Canis lupus familiaris: one gene and its partners. The protein of the gene in region 3 interacts with the protein of the main gene of each other region in a biochemical or structural test. Links are inferred from orthologs where the notes say so. Each region holds a gene or a part of one and is shown on either strand. Other genes may lie near its edges. The genes, in order: PLEKHO1, SMAD5, SMURF1 and AXIN1.

Region 1 (5,250 bases), on a different chromosome or scaffold from region 3:
CCCATGGGTTAGGGATGTTCTTGCATTACTACATAAATTACAAACATCATACTTTGCATTAAAAAAATATCCTGAGGGACGCCTGGGCGGCTCAGTGGTTGAGCATTTGCCTTCAGCTCAGGGTGTGATCCCTGGGTCCTGGGATCGAGTCCTGCATTGGGCTCCCTGTGGGGAGCCTGCTTCTCCCTTTGCCTGCATCTCTCATGAATAAATAAATAAAAACTTAAAAAAAATTAAATTAAATTAAAAAAAATCTTGAATCTGTTAGCTCTAGAGCTTGTGGGAAGCGAAGAGAATAGAGCATAGAGTCCTCCAGTAGCTTCATCCTTAGTCCAGGGCTGCCTGAGCAGGGGGACGGGCTCCAAAGAAGAGGAGTAAGGGTAGGCTTGTGCCCACTGCTCCTGCACCCCTCTCGGCAGGGGGCAGCGGGCCCCATGACTGGTCAGATGCTCCTGACTCATAGGACACCAGGCCTCGGAGGCTGAGGTCATTCATCCTTCCCCCAGTCTCTGTACCCTTTCCTCCACAAACAAGGAGCAAGCACACTTTTGCTCCAGACTCTGTTCTCTGGACAAATACAAATGAGAAAAGATCTCTTGTTCCTTCTACCCTTTCACTGTTGACATATGGGAAGTTCTCTCCAATTGCTCACCAGAGTTTGCTGCCATTATGAAGTTCGGGGAAGACAGGAGATACACTTTGACACTTGCTTGTTGTTGTTGTTATTATTATTATTATTATTATTATTATTAAATTGGAAAGCCAGAAAATTGGAAAACCTTCTACGGGATTTGGGGTTGGGTAGAGGTAGCCCTTAAAAATGAATCCTATCAAAGGCTTCTCTCACCACCTACCATCACCAAGTTCCCGCCTGGCGTCAACAGTCAGGTCGAAACACCCCGAAGAGGGATTGCTCTGGCCCTGGCATGGCTTAGTTCTTCCCTACTTGCCTAGCTACATGTTCTGTTGAGACGATTACTTTCTCTAGGGCTGTGTCTGTGTCTGTTTCAATACCATAAAAGGATTTATTTACCTCAATATAGTCTACTGCAGAAAGCAGAAGAGGTTAGAGCTCAGGGTGGACTTCCCAGTTAGCTCTGGGGTGAGGGAACACGGGGCAGGAGGGGCCGTGCCACCCGGGGAGCACAGGACAGTCTCCAAGCTAGTGTTGACAGCATCTCAGAAGGAGGGACTGAATGTCTTTCACCTCATGGAGGCCAATGTCAGTGTCTCAAGTGTTAACCGATCTCCAGAAATAAGAGAGAAAAGGGAGAAGAGTGTGGATTCAACGATCCGGGCTCAGGTTCTGAATGTAGACTGTGGTTTTCATTTTAATTACCCAGAGACAGATAAGGGGTTGGTGACTCCATTTGTCTCCTTTCTGATACAAATGGGAGAAGTTATGAAGAGGGTGGTGAATGAGTTCCTTGCTTCTCCTCCTCCTCCTTTTAACGGAGTGGGAAGCAGACTGGTTAGGATCATTGGCTTCAACAGAAATAACTGCCACTCACAGACACTCTGCCCGAGGCCATAGGAGACTGACCCAGGGCTGTGTATGTGTTTTCTGTGATTGGGGCAGCTGTACTTGCAATATGGCCTGCGCCTGCCCCCGGCTAAGAGACAGGAAAGAGGTTAGCTGGCTTGGGGTAGGGGAGCGGGAAGAGGTGGAGAAGAAACCCCATAGAGTTTTTCAGCAGCTCTGGCAAAGAAAAAAAAAATCCTACCTCCAGCTAGCTTGCCAGGATAGAGTAGGGGGCAGCAGGGGACTTAGAACTTTTGGGACATCCTGGGAGGGGGGTTATCATCCTTGTCAGAAAGGTGTTGGCCGAGAAAAATCATTAAATAAGATGGACACTCAACTTGGAATTCTGACTCGGGTTTTCTGGATAAAGGGTGACCTTTCTCTGCAGATGCGACAGGGGTAGAGACCAGCTGAACTGCTGAACTTGCTTCTGCACAAAGTGGGGGAGGGGCGAGGGCAGGGGGACGCGGAGGCAGGCAGGTCCCCTGTGGAGGGACAGCACGGGAACAGGAGGAGCCAGGGGCGGGAGGCGGAGGGCACCTACCTCCTTCTCCGAGATGTACAGCTGGTCCCCCTTCAGCACCACATAACGGTTTTTCCAAATCTCCCTGAAAATCCCCTTCCCGCAGAATTTCCGGACCCAGCCGACCTTCTCCGGCGGTGCGCACGGGTGGCTGCCATCCTGAAGCCCCTGCCCCGGGCGACAGCACAGGCCGGTCAGCGGCTGCCGCGATCCGCCCGGGTCGTGCCGGCCCTCACGACCCCCCTCGGCGGCCCGGTCCCCGCGGTCCCCGCGACCGTCCCCCCGAGCTGCGCTGCCGGCGCCCCGGCGTCCGCTGCCCGCGCCCCCGAAGGTTGCCACTCCGGGCCCCCTGCCCCGCCGGCCTCGCCCTCCTCGCGACCGACGGGTCCCGGCCGCGGCCCGGGCGCGGGGGCCTCGCCCGCCCGCCCCCGCCCCCGCCCCCGCCCCGCCCGCAGCCCCGGTCCCGCGGCGCCGGCATCCGAGGCAGCTCGCTGGATTCCTCATTGTCTCCCGCCGGGGCCGGGCCGGGGCCGGGGGGAGCAGCAAAGTCAGCCAAGTGCGAGCCCCCGGCCCGAGGCGGCGCACAGCAGCTCGAGGGGCCGCCCGGGGTCCGGGGCGCGGCGGGCACACTCACCCTCTTGGCGGGATGGTTCTTCTTCATCGTTCCCGGAGGCGCGGCGCGGGGAAGGGGCCCGGCCCGCGGAGCTGCCCCCGCCGCCGCCGCCGCCGCCGCTCCGCCCTCCCTCGCCCGGACTCTCCCCTTCTTTGTAGCTCCGGTTACACTAGAGGCCGGCCTCACTCGCACTCGCACTCGCACTCGCACTCGCACTCGCACTCGCACTCGCACGCACGCCCGCCCCCCGCCCCCCGGCGCCCTCCATGCCGGCGCCCACGCGGCCCGGGCCCCCGCGCGCCCCCGCCGCCGCCTCCCGGCCCGCGCCCCGCGCCTCCATCCGCGGCCCGCTGACGTTGCGAGTTCAGAATAAAGGGCGAATCGCGGAGCCGGAGACGGTGCGCTCCCCCACCCCCCTCCTTTGTCTCCGACTGGAGGAGGGTGAGGGAGACAGACCTAACGCCCGCCGGAGAGCGGCCCCCGGGCGGGGGCGGGGGCGGGGGCGGGGGCGCGGGGCCGGCGCTCGCACCTGCGGCCGGAGCCGGGGGCGGAGCCCGAGACCCAGACGGCCGGCGGAGGCGGCGGGAGCGGACGGCGGGGAGAGATTGCGGAAGACCGAGATCCCCTAGATCGAGACCGGCTCCCTCCCAAGCAAACAAGAGCGGGAGGTGGGAGGGCGCCCGCCTCACCGACAGGGGGCATCTGGGGCGCACACGCCCCGGGTGGTAGGGACAGTGGCCTGGGTGGGTCGTGTTGGGGAAAAGTTTTAGGTGTGTGCAGGGGGTCGCGGGGGACGTGGAGTTGATGGCAATACACGTTTCTACCCATTTACAAAGCCTCGGGCCTTCTTGGAGCCTCCTAAGTACGAGGTGGGTAGTGGCTCTCTCCATTGCACAGAGAAAAGTGAGACTCAGGATGGCTGAGAGATAAACAGACACACACGGTAAGTACTGGCAGGAGTGGATTTCTCTGTCGCCAGAGGCCTTGTCCAGAGGACCATGTGGCTTTAAAGAGAAGCTTCAGGTGAGGCTTAAACTTCCTCTTACCTGCGTGTCTCTTCCTGCTGCATGGAGGTGGAAACATCCGATCCATGGAAACATCTGATTCGAGTCCAATGAAGGGAAGGGGACAATGGCTGGGGGTTGCCCTGACCCGAGGAACCTCTGCTGATGCCTCCTACACCAGATCCGCCTCACAGCCTGCAGACCAACATTTTAGTGACTTCATTTTTTCCCCAGTACATATTTAACGGGAAGAGGGGAGTCAGGAAACCCAGATTGGGGGAATAGTTTCATCATCACTACTTTGTGGCTTTTGGTCAAGTCACTGAATTTCTTTTTCTTTCTCTCTCTCTTTTCTAGATATTATTTATTTGAGAGAGGGAGGAGCAGAGGGAGAGGGAAAGCAGACTCTACACTGAATGTAGAGCCCAGGTGGGGCTCCATCTTACGACCATGGCATCATGACCTGAGATGAAACCCAGAGTCCAGGTGGGCACTTAACAGACTGAGCCACTCAAGGTGCCCCAAGTCACTGAATTTCTTTAGGACTCTGTTCCTCCACATACATATTAAACGGTGAGGGATGAACTGCCGATTCCATCAACGAGGAAGGTTAGCGGAATACAGGAGATGACCTGTGAAAGTCCTATGAAAATACACAAGTATTACCTTCCAGTGCTAATTATTGAACAGTAATAAGCTAACAAACACATTGCCTGGCATATGATAGACATGCAATAGCCACAAAATGAATACAAATTCCTGGCACACGAGCAGGAAAAGAGAACTCTTTTTTCTGGAGACGTCTCAAGATAGAGTATTCCCCAACTTTGTGGTTTCAGGAATGGGGTGGCCTTGGCTTTTTCTGGCATCTGTCAAATGGCAGAGGGGCTTTTCTCCTTTCCCAGACACCCCCTTTCTTCCTAATTCAACAATACTCCTTTTAACCTCTTTTCATTTACTATAGTAATTAATTCCCCTATTATAGAAATTTATCCTTTCAAAATGCTCTTGTATATCATTTCTTGAAATCTTTAGTGCCACCTTGTGAGGTGTATATAATATTATTCCCACTTGGAAAATGAGTAAACTGCATGGCAAATCAATTGACTTGTCCAAGTTTACACAGCAAGTTACTGGCTAAATGGCTTAGAATCCAGGTGTTCTGACTCCAGTCTACTGTTTAGGCTTTGTTAACACACACACACACACACACACACACACACACACCTCTCCCCTTCTCACTGCCTCTGTTTCTCACTTTCTGCTTAAAAAGTGCTTTAAAAAGAAGTAAAAATCGAAGGTATCTTCATAAATGAGGAAGCAGAATGTCCCAGTATACTGGGGAGGAAAAATTAGCCTGCATGATCTGCTGGCCAGGCAGATCAGAGTGGTTTGGAGTCATAGTTTGAATAGATTATGGTTTATGGGAAACAATTCATGATCTGCCTCATCTTTCTTTCCCCTCCTCTTAAAAGTCAACAAATATTTGAGTGTCTTCTGTATGCAAGGTAGTGGGGTCCTTGTGCAGGAGCTTTGTGGAACATCAGGCAGAGGGACTGCTAAAAAATCAAAACCCTCCAAAGTAATT
Region 2 (4,753 bases), on a different chromosome or scaffold from region 3:
AGTCCTGGGAGTGAGCCCTGTGTCCCTGCCTTGCATCCCAGCATATCAGGCTCCCTGCTCAGCAGGGAGTCTGCTTCTCCCTCTCCCTCTGCTCCTCCCCTCCCACACCCACGCATGCATACACTCTCTCCATCAAATAAATAAATAAAATCTCTAAAAAAAAAAAAAAGTTATGTTTCTATGGAGGAGGAATGCCTTTGGGGCTAATAAACTGATGCACAGAACAGACTTACAGCAAAGCAGCAAGGCAACACTGAACTGTGGGTCTGAATACCAAAAAGAAAAATCCCGCTTAGAGCATTTCACAGTTGGTTTTCTTTGGCTAAATCCTTAAGGACCAATTGGATAGAGTACAGGATGCTTTTATGCATCACTAAAATTCTTTCCTAATTTTACTCATAAGCCATCACCCTTGGAAGGCCAGTAAAATAAGCCCAAGAGCAAATGATAAATTTGAAAAGTTCTTTCAACTTTGCAAATCCTTAATAACAGAGGTTAAGTGCAAGGAAGATAATTTTAGTCTCCTAAAGAATTTTTTAAGTCACTCCAGTGGGATCTAATAATAATTGAAACTGCTGAGGCTAAGGAACTTCAAAAGCAATTTTAGTGTTAAATGCTTTCTAGCAATTCAGTCTTTAACTGAAGCTCTTTATAAACTCAGCCCCTATTCAATATCAAAATCAGTATCGTGTGTTTTATAACATCTGGATTATAAAATTAAAACTTCGACCTATTGTGTGGCTTTGAAGCTATAAATTCAAGAATGTCATTTAAAAACCTATTAAGTCAGGTCAAAAGTAAATACCGATTTTCATTTCAGGAAGACATTTTAAAATCATAACCTACAGAAATATGCAAATTTACAGTGACTCAAATTAAGCTACAGGTTATAACCCACTCACCTTGACAAAACTCATTCGGATGGTACACATTTTGGTGAGCTCATACACTGCCTCAAACCCATGGTTGACAGACTGAGCCAGAAGCTGAGCAAACTCTTGGTTGTTAAAAATTTTGAGGCTGCAACTGCTGGGAATCTTACAGACCGTGGTAGGATGAAAGCCATGATGAAAGTTGCAGTTCCTACTCTGAACAAATATGCTGCTGTCACTGAGGCACTCTGCATACACCTCTCCACCAACATAGTACAGATGAACACCTTAAAAAAACAAGCATTACAAGACTCACCTTAATAAAGGTGAAATAATAAAAATCATAAATTTTTTTAATAAAAAAAAAATGTTTCATTATACAATGAAACCAAAGAGGTTGTAGAAGGTGCAACCAAGAACACCCACTAACCTATAGCAAAGGCCCAACAGTCTGTAGATATGAAGCTACCACTAGAGGGCCTTAGACTGCCGAAGATAATCAAGAGGTTAATGGCCTCCATCTACAGTGGTCCTCAAATAACTGAGACTTAAATTAAGCTTAAGGTTGGCAGCTTATTAGGTTTATCAGTTCTTAGGTTCTTTTCTTTTCTTTTCTTTTTGGTTCTTTTCTCTTTGCCAACAATCATTTATTATCTCTAGGAGCAAAAGCAAAGGCAAAAAGACAAAGAAAGCGCAAATGATGAGTCCTTTCAAAGGAACGCTTGGTGCTAAGTTAATTTATCACAGAGTCAATTGGCAAAGTGTTTTGCACTCTTTTAACTAATGGAGAGTACAGCAGCATTAAAAATTTGGCCCTAAGTCACATATGTAATTGCAGGTCACAGGAAGAGACTTTAATTTTTTTTAAGAAGAGACTTTAAACGGCAGATTTATTTTACTTCCCTTGAAAAGAATGGTTTTGGTATTTAAAAATATATATATATGTAAATAATATGTGAAGTTTCAATATTAAAACTTCAACTTCTATAGCTAAAGTTATTTCCAACTTTTTACTTCCACAAAGAGTGTTAAAAAGGCCATCCTTGTATACACATACCTCATACACGTGTGAATCACAGACTTGTATTAGGCTATGATACAAAAAACTGTTTTGGGACACCTGGGTGGCTCAGCAGTTGAGCTTCTGCCTTTGGTTCAAGGCATGATCCTGGGGTTCCGGTATTGAGTCCTATTATTGGGCTTCCAGCACAGAGCCTGCTTCTCCCTGTCTAGGTCTCTGCCTCTCTCTGTGTCTCTCGTAAATAAATAAAATCTTTAAAAAAACCAACAACTGTATGTTGTTGTTTCTAAGCAAATAAAATGACCCATGGAGGAAGGGATCCTAGAATTAGATACCGGGAAAAATGGGAAAACAAATTCTAGAATTTTAGAATTCACCTGGTAGATTTCTCTTAAATCATTCTAACGTAGTGGGAAAATCAATACATAGAAGTGAGGCATTTCACCAAAAAAAAAAAAAAAAAAAAAAAAAAAATCAATGCCAAGTTGGCAACAGAGTCAAAAAAAGAACAGAAACTTCCTTTCAACTTATTTTTGGCCATAGTATTTTGCTGAATCTCTTCTATAAGAAATCACATGACAATTATAATTATGGACCTTTTGTTCTAACTTGGACTAAGACTTTCTCAAGTGAAAGAAGTAGAACAGAGCGAGTGGCAAAAACTAAACTTACAAGACAGGCAATACACTCTACCTGGGAAAGGTTTCCTTTCTGACCACTTGCATGAGCCTCTGATATTTCATTGAGGTGGGAAAAGTTACTTGTTTATTGTGGCAACTGTCTTGCTGGATGAAACATAAATAAAACCTGGTTACCTGAATTTAAAAGGCAGGAGGAGTGGTGGAGAGACTTGTCATTCAAACTGGATTTCCCACCTATAACCCAGCTCCTCCCCACATAACAGAAGTTCTTACAAGGCACCTCTTCTCAAAAAACCATAATTAAAAAATTCTAATCCTATGCCAGTAATCATATATTCCACAAATATTTGTTGTGTACTTACTGTGAGCCAGGAACTATTCTAGCTGCTGAAAATAATGCTATGAACAAGGCAAATTTCTGTAAAGCTTGTATTCCAGTCAAGAAGGCACTCAAAAAATAAATAAAGAAATCGTATGATTTCAGATCCCAAACAAAGAAAAACAAAGCAGGATAAGGAAAAGAGGACTGATGAGGTCTTGACTTAATACATTCTATGGTATCTGCACCTTGAGAGCAGAGCCCATGCTTCAGGCTCACATTACACTCTAGTGCCTTATACAGCGCACGGTACAGAGCAAGAACAGCAAATGACTGATTTCAACTGAACGCAGGGCAATGACAAAATTACCTTTTCCAATATGTCGTCTAGTGTTCTCAATTGTTGAATTACGATTAACATTTGACAACAACCCCAAGCAGAATCTACTTTTATTATTTGAAGGGTCTGTGAATCCATCTACTAACACACTAGTAGAAGATGCATGAAAAGCCTCCCCAACACGATTGTTTAATTCATAGTAGACAATTGAACACCAATGTTTGGGCTCTTCATAGGCAACAGGCTGAACGTCTGTAAACAAACCAGATTTAAAAAACGATTAATGAGTAAATTAGAAACCCCTGATTCTTTATGTGTTTCCCTTACAAACCAGATAAAAAAACGATTGAGTAAATTAGAAACCCCTGATTCTTTATGTGTTTCCCTTACAAACCAGATAAAAAAACGATTAATGAATAAATTAGAAACCCCTGATTCTTTATGTGTTTCCCTTTAAGCCAATCCAAGCACTCAATGAAAAATATTTTCAGATATTTCACTTAAGTCTCTCACTGTCCTCCCTGGCTTGGAGTCTGTACTTAAAAAAAGAAATGGCCATGAATATGATTTTAAAACTTTTCTAAATGCAAATATAAAGACAGGCAATATTACATTTATTTTACTTTTAAATTTTTATTATTTTAGTTGACATATAATACCATAATAGTTTCAGGTGTACAAGGTAGTGATCAGATACTCCTATACATTATGCACTGCTCACAATGGTAAGTCTAATAACCATTTGCCACCATATAACACTGTAACAATATTATTATTATTCCCTATACTATACTTTTTTCCCCTATACTATACTTCTCACCTCCGTAACTTATTTTATAATTGGAATTCTGTACCCTTTAATCCTCTTTTCCTGTTTTATACACCACCCTCCTCTGGCAACCACCAGTTTGTTGTCTGCATTTATGAGTCTGTTTCCGGTTTTTTTATTTGTTTATTTGCTGTGTTTTTTGGATTCCACATAGGTATGAAATCATATGGTATTTGTATTTCTCTGTCTGATTTATTTCACTTAGCATAACATCTTCTTGGTCCATTCATCTTGTTGCAAAATGGAAAGATCTCATCTTTATGGTTGAGGAATATTGCGTATATATCTCCTTTATCCATTTATCTATTGATGGACACTGACATTGCTCCCATATCTCGACTACTGTAAATAATGCTACAATAAACACACATGTATCTTTTCAAATTAGTGTTTAAAAAAAATAGTGTTTTCACTTTCTTTAGGTAAATACCCAGTAATGGAATTACTGGATAATATGGTATTTCTATTTTTAATTTTCTGAGGAATCTGCACACTGTTTTCTACAGTGGCTGCACCAATATACACTCCCACAACCAGTACACAAGGATTCTCTTTTCTCCATATCCTTGTCAACGCTTGTTATTTGTCTTTTCAATACTAGCCATTCAGACTGATGTGAGGTGGTATCTCACTGTGATTTGATTTGCATTTTCCTGATGATTAGTAATGTTGAGTATTTTTTCATGTGTCTGTTTACTATCTGTATGTCTTCTTTGGAAATATGTCTATTC
Region 3 (5,218 bases):
ATATCAGCATTGAGACTTAATAACAGACAGCATTAGTACCCAGCATAATGTGGAATAAGTAGGTACCCAAAATGAGAAAGAGAATCAAAGGTTGTTACAATAAAGTTGAAATCTCATCTTATATGAAGAAACGGAGGCCCAGCAAGGTTACCTAATTTGTTCCATATCATGCAGTTTACGGGAGATTTGCCCAAAATCACGTCTCTTAATTTTAAATCCAATGCTCTCCTCACCACCAAATACAACTGTGGACCTCAAATTTTAAAGGCTGTTTTATACTCCAGTGTCTTCAGATGTTGCCTGGAATTATACTCTGTGTGATATTAATTACTGGTTAGAATGCCCCTTGTTTTTTAAAAAAAAAATTTTTTCAAATATCACGCATAGAATTAAACTCTAAATCTTGTAACAAGAGTATACAACTTTTGAAAGATGGCTACCCAATATGCCAGAAAAGAAGAGATTTTCAAACTGCCCTGGACAACCTTAAAGATGATGCCAAAACCTACTCTACACCAAAACATCTGAGGTTCCAGCACCTCAACATAAATTAACATTCAACAGACAACAGACATGGATCTGCCATCACCACTAAAAATCCTGTTGCAGGGATGACCACACTCACACATCATCCCAATCACTAACACCAACAGGGATGAAGGGAAAGGGAGCTTTGGAAATAACACTCATCACTTGATCCTTCAGTATCAAATGCCATCCAAAACTCTTCAAAGCATTTCTGTATCTTTGGCATGTAAATTTCTGAATCCAAAAATAATTTGGGAGGACAAACCAAGCCCTCCCTTTTTCAAGGGAAAGGCTCAGACCTGCCAACTTGGTTTGATATATAAATGTGTATATGATACAAACATTGTAATGAGAACCTATTCCTTCTGAAACATTAATCACATTTCTACCAAAACTCATGAAATCAGTTATTTCTGCTTTTAACAAGAAAAATGAAACCAATCTGATGTCAATTACAGATTACACTGTAAATTAGAATCCAATTAAAGTTGTCAGTAATTAAAGTTTTACAAGCATTACAAAGTCAAAAACATGTCTTTCATGTAACCATAAAAATAACAATGCTTTATACTGTATCTACATAGTGAGAAGCATTTCCTCCTGGCCCTGGAACAGAGTATGTTCCTCCAGAAGCAAAGATCCCTGGGACAGATGGCTGTTACTTCACACAACCAGGGTCTGGATTTGGGTCCAAATCATTACCTGGCCGCCTTATCTTGTAACCTAATCTGACATCTTTCTACAAAAAAAAAAAAAAAAAAAAAAAAAAATTACAACACTTTTCTTGAGAAAAATGTGAGTCACGCAACAGCTCCGTACTTTCAAAGGAAACTTTCGTTTGAAAACGATCGCCATTGTTATTTTCATGGATTTTACCGAAATTAGGGCTACGCATCTGCCACAAAGTGTCCAAAACTCTCATTTGCTCTCTGAAAGCATCCGACCGAACTCTGACTCTGGGGTCCTCACCAGACTGGCCATCCAACAGAAAAATCCAAGGGAAAGCCCCCCGACAGGAACTAGCCTGAACTTTGTATTTCCCTTCCAGGGCTGGAAATACTCGAGTCCGGAAAGTCCCCTGGCAGACGCGTGTCTGCGGCCCTACGATCCGGCCTAAGGTGTGAATCTGAACGGGGAGGCGAGGCCGCAGCTCCGTGGCCCCGAGGGCCGGGGAAGGGGCCGCCGGCGAGGGGCGCATCCACCCGCGGCCGAACCACCGCGTCGCCGGCCGCAGCCGAGCTTCGCGCTCACCCTGGAAGGTGGCACTACAGAGCCTCCGAGGAGACGCGGGCACTTCATTGAGGACTCGGTGAGAGTGAATCGAGGAGCCGGCGTTCGTGCAGCTGCCACAGCCTCCAGTGGGGGGCGGGGGACCCTCAGCCCCACTCAGGGCTCTAGGATGGGGGGGCAGTGCTGGGAAAGTGCAATGGGGGAAGTACCGGGGCAGCACGGCAGGCAGCCGACAGTGGCCTGGCCCGAGGCACAGAGGAAGTGGGCCAGACTCAAGAGGTCTGGAGCAGCGGGGAAGTGAAGAGAACAGGACCGGGACACGCCACACCACAGGACTGAGGAATTCGAGGCTGAAGGAAAGGGTGGAGGCGGCGAGACCCAGCGAGGGGGCGGGGCTGCGAGATAAGCAGGGGCGGGGCCTAGGGGGAAAGGGAGCGAGCCCCGCCGAGGAGAATAAAGGGGCGGGGCCGGGAGGGGAGAAGCCGGACGGGGGGTAGGTGGGGGCGGGGGGAGTAAGAACCGGGAGGGTAGCGGGGCGAAGCGCCGGGTACCGCGGAGAAGAGGCCGCCGAGCCAGAGAGGATGGGGAGGTGGGGAGAAGCGAGGGGCGGGGCCGAGAGCGAGGGGCGGGGCCGGGAGGGAGAGCGAGGAGGCAGGTGAGGGGAGAGCGGGGAAAGCGAGGGGGAGGAAGGGGGCTGAGCGGCGGGGGGCGGGGCCACGAGGGGGGCGAGAGGGGAGAGCCCGCGGCCGGGTGGGGGCCGCGAGCAGGGAGGCGACGGGGCAGGTGGGGGGGGCAGGAGGGGAGCGGGAGGGCCGCGGTGGGGGGGGAAGGTGGGGGGTGAGGAGCGAGGGGGCGGGGCCGGCAGCCGCGAGGGGGCGGGGCCGGGAGCGCGGAGCGAGGGGCACTCGCCGAGGGGGGTGACGAGGTCCTGGGACAACGGCCGGCGTGGGGGAGGGCCACTCCACCGGGGCGCTCTGCGGGGAATTCCGGGGCTGCTGGGGGCCCGTGCGGGGCGCCAGCGGGCGCCGGTGGGGTGTGCGGGGGGAGGCGGGTGGGCCTCCCGCCGGCCGTACCTGTCAGACGGATCTTAATGCTGGAGCCGTTCCTGCGCGTCCCGGGGTTCGACATCTCCCGCCAACGATCGGGCAGCCGCGGATCCAGCGCCGCCGCCCCCCGGCCCGGCCCGGCCCGGCCCCGCCGCCGCCGCCTCAAGGTTACGGCTCCGGGCTGGGCGCCGGGGTCCGAGCCGGGACACAAACTCCGCGGCCCAGGCGTCCGGGCGGCGGGAGGATGGTCGAGCCGGGGGATCGGCGCTCGACCCGGCGCCCCCGACCCTCGCCCGCTCCCAGCCGAGCCCAGTCCAGAGCCGCCGCTGCCTCCGCCGCCGCCGCCACCGCCACCACCACCTCCTCCTCCTCCTCCTCAGAGCCGGACGCCCGCCGCCCTCGCCGCTTCCGCCGCCGCCGCCGCCGCCTCCCGGAGCCGCGCGCGCTCCCGCCGCCGTGCCGGCCCGGCCCTGCGCGTGCCCGCGCCGTGCGCCCCCGCGCCTGCGTGCGTGCGCGCACCCGAGAGCACGCCGGGGCGGGGCGGGGCTACGTCGCAGGCCTGGCTAGGGGCGCGCGGGGTCTGGAACCAGTGGCGGGGCCTGCCCACGTCCTCCCCCCGGGAGCCGGGCGAAGGAGCTCGGGGCCTGGGAGCGGAGCTCGCCCTGGAGGCCGGGGGAAGGCGAAGCTAGGGTGCGGGGCCACATGTGGGCCCTCGAACCGCCACCCTCAGTCTTCGCCACATTGTCCAAGGGAACAGGTTTGCAGATGCGGACCGAATTGATTTTCCGGGTGTCTCTCCAGCCTCCGGGGCGCCCGCCCCCCCCACATAGATATTGGAAGGAGGATTACGTGAACCCGTAGCCTGTTACGACACACCAAGCACCTTGCACAAATAGGTACCACTTTTTCTTTTTTTTTTTTTTGAGTAGAGCTTTCAGAGAATGCAGTTTCAATGGAGAGACTTCTCAAAGACACAAAAGTCCCCTACGTGTGTTCTGTGCAAGGTAGTGCGCTCTGTTGACCCGTTACACTTGCCAGAATCGCTGGAAGTGCCATATATGGACAAGGTAAACAAGATGGGAGAGAGGGATAAAGTTGAGTAGATGTTTGTTATGATCCAATCTGCATACAATCCAAACCAACAAAGGCAGCTTTACGGCCTTGGTTTCCCCGCCTTCTGCTAACACATCCCTCCCAGGATTGCAGAGTTGAACTAAAAACTAACATTTTCCCTCCTCCCAGAGTTGCAGGGTAGAGCTAAGAGCTCATTAGGCTTTCTCCAGCAAACAAACTCCTCTCTTTGTTAACCTGTAATGGAGAGGAAATAACTGTTACTAAAGAAGAAAAGCTGGGCTTGTTTACCAAAGTTGTTTTTGACCAACTACCTAATTCTTGGAAAGCCTTTATTTGGTTTGTATCTTAAGGAGCCAAGCTCCGAGCCCTTGAGCCACCCGCTTCAGTCAGACTTTCCTGGGGTCACAACCTTCTAAATAGATCCCTCTAGGGCCCCTAGACATGCCTTACCCCCTTGCCCCGCCTCAGGCTGAACCCAGTGGAAGCTGAGTGTCTCTAGACTGGATTCAGAGCTGCCTTGCTGCCTCTTGAGCTTCAGTCATTCAGTCAAATCAAAAGACATGCCCTTGGGTGGCTCATTCAGTTGGGCATCTGGATCTTGATTTTTGGCTCCGGTCATGACCTCAGGGTTGTGAGATCGAGCCTGGTGTCAGGCTCTACACTGGGCATGGAACCTGCTTGAGATCCTGTCTCTCCCTCTGCTCCTCCCCTGGTCTCTCTCTCTCTATCTCTCTCTCTCTCCCTCAAATAAATGTATCTTTAAAAAGAAAATGGGCCAGACCATTTCTTTGGCCCCTTAAAGCTCAGACTTTGAATAATTCTAGTGAAGTATCCAAGAATACAAGCTATGTTTAAGCAACAGAGCAGTAGACCCAGAATCGAGCTGTTACTCTGTAGGCAATTGTCACTAAGAGTGAGTCCCTAGGGTCCAAATAGATCCATTTAGAGTCTCTAACCCCTGCCCCCAAGTGACCGTCATTATTCTTTCAATCCACCTAGTATCTCTTCTCTTCATTTCCGTATTCAAGAAGTCCCTTCTCCCAACCAGACTAAACCTCTCTCTGCTTGCCTGAATGCTGGCCCCTGTTCTGATCCCTAGCTATTCCCAATCTAAAATACTTCCATTTCTTAACCTCATTGTTTTCTTACCTGCCTAGATGTCTGGATTGTTTCCTCAACACATGAGACAGGAGGTCACTTCTGGAGGTCACTGAAAGGCATTTTGTTTACTCATGAACAAGTCATTGCCGCTTTCATTTAACCAAATAACACCTAACGGTGTCTTTCAACATGGCCTACCCAAGGAGGACCTTCCTAATGGAAGCTAACGTTTTATCCGT
Region 4 (5,479 bases), about 30 Mb from region 3:
TGAAAAGCTTAGGGCCGCTGTTCCACAAGGTGATCTGCTCCTCCACCTCCTAAATTTTCAAGGACCAATGTAGCCCAAAGGACTCCACTTACTTTTCTGACTCTAGAAACTCAAGAAGCGTCCACACCTCCTGAAAATCCCACAGCAACGCCGTTCTCTGCGCGCCTGTCCATTCTCCTGCCTGAATGTCAGGTTCTCAAAACTGAAACTCAGGGCTAGCACCCGAGTCCAGGTTCAGACCATGTGTGTTCTCCAAAGAAGGGCCTCGAAGCAAGTGTCCGGAGAGCTTCCGTGCAGAAGCAGGGTGAGCACGGGGGCAAAACGGAGGGGCAGGGATGCGCGGCAGGGGCTCCTCATAAACCACCCCAGACCTGCGCGGGGAGGCCCTCCGGGAACTGGGGCTCCCCCTCTGTCCTCAGCGCTAAGCAGAAAGTTTCCCCGCCTGGCCGGGCGGCTCTGCTCCGCGGGCACCGAGCTCCAAGCTGCGGGGAAGCGCTAGGGGCTTCGGGGGAGCGGAGCCGGTGCCCGGGGTTCGGGGTTCGGGCCTCGGAGCCCCGCGCGGGGCCGGAGTCACGGGGCCGCCCCAGGACCTGCGCCCGCGCACACGCGCATCCCGGCCGGGCCCGCGGGCGGCCCCGCTCACGCCCACCCCCCGGGACCCCGCGCACCGCCCCCCGCGCACCGCTCCCGCCCCGGCCCCGGCCCTCGCAGCGCGTCCCCGCCGCCGCCCCGCACGCCCCGAGCCCGCACCCACCGGCCCCTCTTCCGGGTCCCGGCCCGCCCGGCCTACGCGGCCTACAATGGGCGGCCCACAGGCCCGCGCCCGGCCCGCACGACTCACCCGCGGCGGCGGCGGCGGCGGCGGCGCCCCGGCCCGGCTCCGGGAGCGGCGCGGCGCGGCCCATGCGCTCAGCGGCGGCGCGGCGGGCGGGACGGGGCGGGGGCGCGGCCCCGGGCGGCCCCCATCGCAGCGGCGGCGCGGCGGCCCGGAGGCGGGCGCGGGGCAGGCCGCGGGGGCGCCGCCGAGGCCGGCCGCCCGCTCTCACCCGCCTGCACCGGGAGACGCGGCTCCGGACCGACTCCGGCCGGTCCTGCGGCGGCGGCGGCGGCTGCCGCGATCGCTTCCCCGAGCGGGGAGCCCGAGCCCAGAGCGCCGAAGCCCAGGCCGGAGCGCCCCCGCCGGCGCCGCCCGGAAGTGCGGGGGCGGGGCCGGAGCGCGGGGCGGGGCCCCGGAGCGTGGGGGCGAGGCCGAGGACGTGGGGCGGGGCCCGGAGCGCGGGGGCGGGGCCCGGAGCGGGGCCGAGAACGTGGGGGGGGCCGAGAACGTAGGGCGGAGCCCGGAGCTCGGGGGCGGGCCCGGAGCGTGGCCGAGAACGTGGGGGGGGCCCCCGGAGCGTGGGGGCGGGGCCGAGGACGTGGGGCGGGGCCTGGGGAGTAGGGGCTAGGCCGAGAACGTGGGGCGGGGCCCGGGGTGTGGGGGCGGGGCCGAGAACGTGGGGCGGGAACCGGAGCGTGTGGGAGAGGCCGAGAGCGTGGGGCGGGGCCCGGAGCGGGGGGCGGGGCCGAGGATGTGGGGCGGGACCCGGAGAGTGGGGGCGAGGCCGAGAGCGTGAGGCGAGGCCGAGAGTGGGGGGTGGGGCCAAGAGCGTGGGGCGGGGCCCCCGAGCGTGGGGGGCGGGGCCGATATGTGGGGCGGAGCGCGGGGGCGTGGCCGAGAGCGGGGGGCGGGGCCCGGAGCGGGGGGCGGGGCCCCGAAGCGTGATCCAGACCGGAAGTGAGGTCGCCCGGAGCGTAGGGCGGGGCCAAAGGCTCGGGGCGGGGCCAGGACGCGAGCGTTTCGGATACGTGGGGCGGGACTGGCACGGGACGCACCAGCCGGAGCGGGGGGCGGGGCGAAGGCTTGGGGCAGGGACTTGGGCGGGGCCGGAGCACCGGGCGGGGCAGCCTTGAGGAGGGGATCCGGGAGCAGGAGGCGGGGCCCAGAGCGTCGGGGAGGGACCGCGAACACAGGGCGCAGCGGAGAGCGTAGGGCGGAGCCGGAACGTGGGGGCGGGAGAAGGACGGGGACGTAGCCCGGGGCGGGGGCGGGGCCTAGAGCCCCGGGCCCAAGCACTTGCAGGGACGGACGGCGCGGAGGCGGGGCCCGGGGCAGCGGCGGGCGCGGGGAGGGGGCGGGGCCGCCTGGTGGGCGGGGCCAGGTCCCAGGTGCGGGCGTCTGGGTGGGCCTGGGCGGCGAGCGGCGGTGTGGCGGGAGCCCGTGCGGGTGCTGCGGAGCCGCCCTGCCCGGCCGCCGAGCGCCTGGCTTTCCTTCCTACGCTGTCCCTAGGTCATACTGGCGCGGCAGCCTGGGGAGCAGGGCTTCCTGCACCACCACCTCTGCCCTTCACCGTCGCCATAGCAGCTGTTGCCCGACCTGCAAGCACAGCCGGCCAGCTCCTTGTCTACCCGCCCCGGGCCCTTCCCTAAGGGAAGGATGTGGCACTGAAAGGTTACCACTGCCCCTCAGGAATTGCTTCTGGCACCCCCGTGACCACCTAGGGCCTGTGCCCCACAGAGCCACGAGGCCTGCACCTGAAGAGATGCTCCCCGCAGTCTCCAGGGCAGGGCCGTGCCCCGTCCAACAGGCCACCACATCTTCTCCTGGACCCTGTTTGCCCTCCCGGCGCGTCCTCATCTTTCAGGCTCCATACCAGTGCACAAGTCCTGGCTTGGGGCTCCACGGGCCACAGCCAGCCTCCCACCCAGATGTCCACGGGTGGTGCCTGTCTGGGGTGTGCAGGTGTAGGGACACACCAGCCTGCCTCAAGTCTCAGCACAGCATCTCTCCCAGGGGGTCATAGGAAAGGGAGGCAGTGAGGGATGAGGACAACCAGGGACGCATCCCCAGCCTACCGAAGGCCCAGACCACCCAGGGGCAGTCGGGGCTATAGATGAGGGGCTATGCGACCAAGCCCACACTGGCCCCACTAGGGTGATCACAGTGGGGGTCACTCTCACCAGCATCCAGCTGGGACAGTCCCAGGCTCCCCAGTGCAGCCCCTCCCCCACTCCGTTCAGCCTAGGAGTCTTAGAGACCACGAGACACAGTGGGTGGCCTTCTGGGCACAGCGGGGTCTCTGTGGGGTATGGGAGTCCTGGGTGGGCTGGACAAACAGCAAGAGCTCCCAGACACTGGCCCTCATGTTGCCTCCCCGCTCCCAGACACGGGTCCCCAGTGCTTGCCTTGGTTCTGCAGAGCTGCTGCTGTGGCCGGGCCAGGCTCCCAGGGTTGTGTCCACGTCCATCCTCCTCCTGGCCCATGGCGGCAGGTGTCCCCAGGCCCCAGGACCAGAACAGGACCCTCGGGCCCCTGGCTCCTTGGGGCTCCCACCCTGCAGGGACAGGAAGGGAGTCAGAAGGCCTGGAGGAAATGCAGCAGCCCAGCTACCGCAGATTAGAACTGTGGGCACAGAGGGGCGATTGAGCAGGGTGAGAGCAGCCGTGGACCAGAGGAGGGAGCCCAGGGAAGGCCAGACCGGGCCTGCGGTGCTGCAGGGGCGACCTGGCAGGGACTGTGTCAGCCACCCAGACGTGACACCAAAGAGCCCCAGGAGCCTCATGTCAGAACAGGTGAGTTCCTTGATGGAGCACCCTCTTTTCACACACACACCCCCAGTGAAGGGGGTGCCAGGGTTTGCCACTAGAAGCTTTGATTGGATTAACCGTAGAGGACATTTGTTCCGGCTTTCCAGGAACTACATGAAAAACTTAAAAGCAAAAATGAAATAATTTTCTTCAACGTAGACATAAAATGAATACTTAGAAATAAAGCGAGCTTTGAAGCCTTACATGTGGGGCAGCCCGGGTGGCTCAGCGGTTTAGTGCCACCTTCAGCCCAGGGCGTGATCCTGGAGACCCAGGATTGAGTCCTATGTCAGGTTCCCTGCATGGAGCCTGCTTCTCCCTCTGCCTGTGCCTCTGCCTCTTTCTCTCTCTCTCTCTCATGAATAAATAAATAAAATCTTAAAAAAAAAAAAAATGAAGCCTTACACGTGTTCATCCACTTGGCTGAGGAACACCACTCATAAAAAATGATTCAAAGAAATCATCCGAAAAAAAAAAAAAAAAGAAATCATCTAAGATGCACCAAGTATATTGAGGCGCGTCCAGCATGGCCCGATGTGTGATGATGAAAGCCAGCAGCAGAGAACAGGCTGCAGACATGGGACACTGGGGGCACATCCCCATTGTCTTCCTGGGAGGGGAGTGCAGGAGGGACCATGGGATTTGGGCCTCTGGAGGGAGGGAGGGGTCTCAGGCCTAGCCCCTTCTGGGTCTGCCCCAACAGGTGTGGGGGGTGGCGGTGGGAGGGCAGGCGAGGCCCCGGCAGGAGGGGGGGGCGCGGGCTCATCTGGCTGTGGACGGTTGTAGCGGGGGTGGTGAGGACTCCCCCTTGGAGGCACAGCTCCAGCCGCCCGGGCTCCACCCTTCATCCTGGGTGTCTTTCCTCTCTCAGTTCTGAGCTCTGGGGGGAGGGCCAGTGTCGCCTGTGTCCCCACGGCAAACCCCAGATGGATGCACAGCCGTCACACCAAGATCATGAGCCCGAGCACCAAGGCGGCCCGTGCTCGGTGCCCGCTGTTGTGGGTGCAGAGCTCGTGCCTGTAGGGTGGGAACGCTGACCATCCATATTCCAGGGCACTAATAGGTTATTGTCGGAGCGCAGACTCGGGGGTGCTTGCAGCACTTCCTTTATGCATTCAGGAAGAGGCTCTGTGCCCGAGAAAATGCAGCGGGCACCACCCCGCGGGCCCCTGTGGGAGCGAGCTGGATGCCTGGGCCCTTGGGACAGGACGCGGCTGCCCACGCCAGGCACAATGGTGCTGCTCCGACTGTCCCGGGACCAGTGAGAAGGTGCCCAGCACAGCCCATGGACACTCCAGCCTGGGGGACCGCATGTCAGGGCAGGCCCCTGCCTGTCCCCGCTCTGTCGGGATCCCCGTCCGCTTGCCCTGGGGGCGGCTGTGTCATCCAGGCTGGCACTTTGCATCGGTAGTGCTCTTTGGCGTCTTCAGCTGCAGCTGCCTGGGGCAGACACCCCAGAGGTGATCTCGCCCCCAAAAGCCAGGCTGGGCCAGCCGGGGCGTAAGGTCAGGGCCCTGTGTCTAACGAGCCAGCTCTGGCATCAGCTCGCTGTTGGGGGTACCTGGGTGACTGTCACCTTCTCATACTGCTCTATGTCATCCCAGCCCAGCTGTCCCTGCTCCTCAGAGCCGCCACAGGCTCCCCTGAACAAGGCTAGGAGGCCCCACAGCAGAGGTAGGGGACTGCAGCACTCGGCTCCTGCCAGGCCCGGCTGGTGATGCTGCGTTCGTTCCCACGTCCCCTGTCTGGACGACTCACCCAGCAGACCTGACACAGCCCCCACGGGTCAAGGGCCAGGGCTCAGGGCCGACAGGGAAGCAGGGGCACAGCAGCCGGCGAGTAGTCCGAGGGTACC

The links.
Region 1: the proteins of SMURF1 (region 3) and PLEKHO1 form a complex in vitro, tested with the Homo sapiens proteins (4 studies listed by BioGRID and IntAct). The link is inferred for Canis lupus familiaris from reciprocal best matches to the Homo sapiens genes SMURF1 and PLEKHO1.
Region 2: of the proteins of SMURF1 (region 3) and SMAD5, one has a biochemical effect on the other in vitro, tested with the Homo sapiens proteins (3 studies listed by BioGRID, with this or other methods). The link is inferred for Canis lupus familiaris from reciprocal best matches to the Homo sapiens genes SMURF1 and SMAD5.
Region 4: of the proteins of SMURF1 (region 3) and AXIN1, one has a biochemical effect on the other in vitro, tested with the Homo sapiens proteins (2 studies listed by BioGRID, with this or other methods). The link is inferred for Canis lupus familiaris from reciprocal best matches to the Homo sapiens genes SMURF1 and AXIN1.

What each region holds. Positions count from the first base shown.
Region 1 is NC_049238.1:60,057,345-60,062,594, reverse strand, and holds the start of PLEKHO1 (pleckstrin homology domain-containing family O member 1), read right to left. Parts: upstream 3,139-5,250; 5' UTR 2,707-3,138; coding exon 2,680-2,706; intron 2,214-2,679; coding exon 2,067-2,213; intron 1-2,066. UniProt on the Homo sapiens protein: Plays a role in the regulation of the actin cytoskeleton through its interactions with actin capping protein (CP).
Region 2 is NC_049232.1:24,090,846-24,095,598, reverse strand, and holds part of SMAD5 (mothers against decapentaplegic homolog 5), read right to left. Parts: intron 3,446-4,753; coding exon 3,224-3,445; intron 1,160-3,223; coding exon 903-1,159; intron 1-902. UniProt on the Homo sapiens protein: Transcriptional regulator that plays a role in various cellular processes including embryonic development, cell differentiation, angiogenesis and tissue homeostasis.
Region 3 is NC_049227.1:10,464,798-10,470,015, reverse strand, and holds the start of SMURF1 (E3 ubiquitin-protein ligase SMURF1), read right to left. Parts: upstream 3,124-5,218; 5' UTR 2,887-3,123; coding exon 2,832-2,886; intron 2,348-2,831; exon of another isoform or gene 2,271-2,347; intron 1-2,270. UniProt on the Homo sapiens protein: E3 ubiquitin-protein ligase that acts as a negative regulator of BMP signaling pathway. Mediates ubiquitination and degradation of SMAD1 and SMAD5, 2 receptor-regulated SMADs specific for the BMP pathway.
Region 4 is NC_049227.1:40,623,491-40,628,969, reverse strand, and holds the start of AXIN1 (axin-1), read right to left. Parts: upstream 3,372-5,479; 5' UTR 3,223-3,371; intron 899-3,222; exon of another isoform or gene 842-898; intron 439-841; exon of another isoform or gene 93-438; intron 1-92. UniProt on the Homo sapiens protein: Component of the beta-catenin destruction complex required for regulating CTNNB1 levels through phosphorylation and ubiquitination, and modulating Wnt-signaling.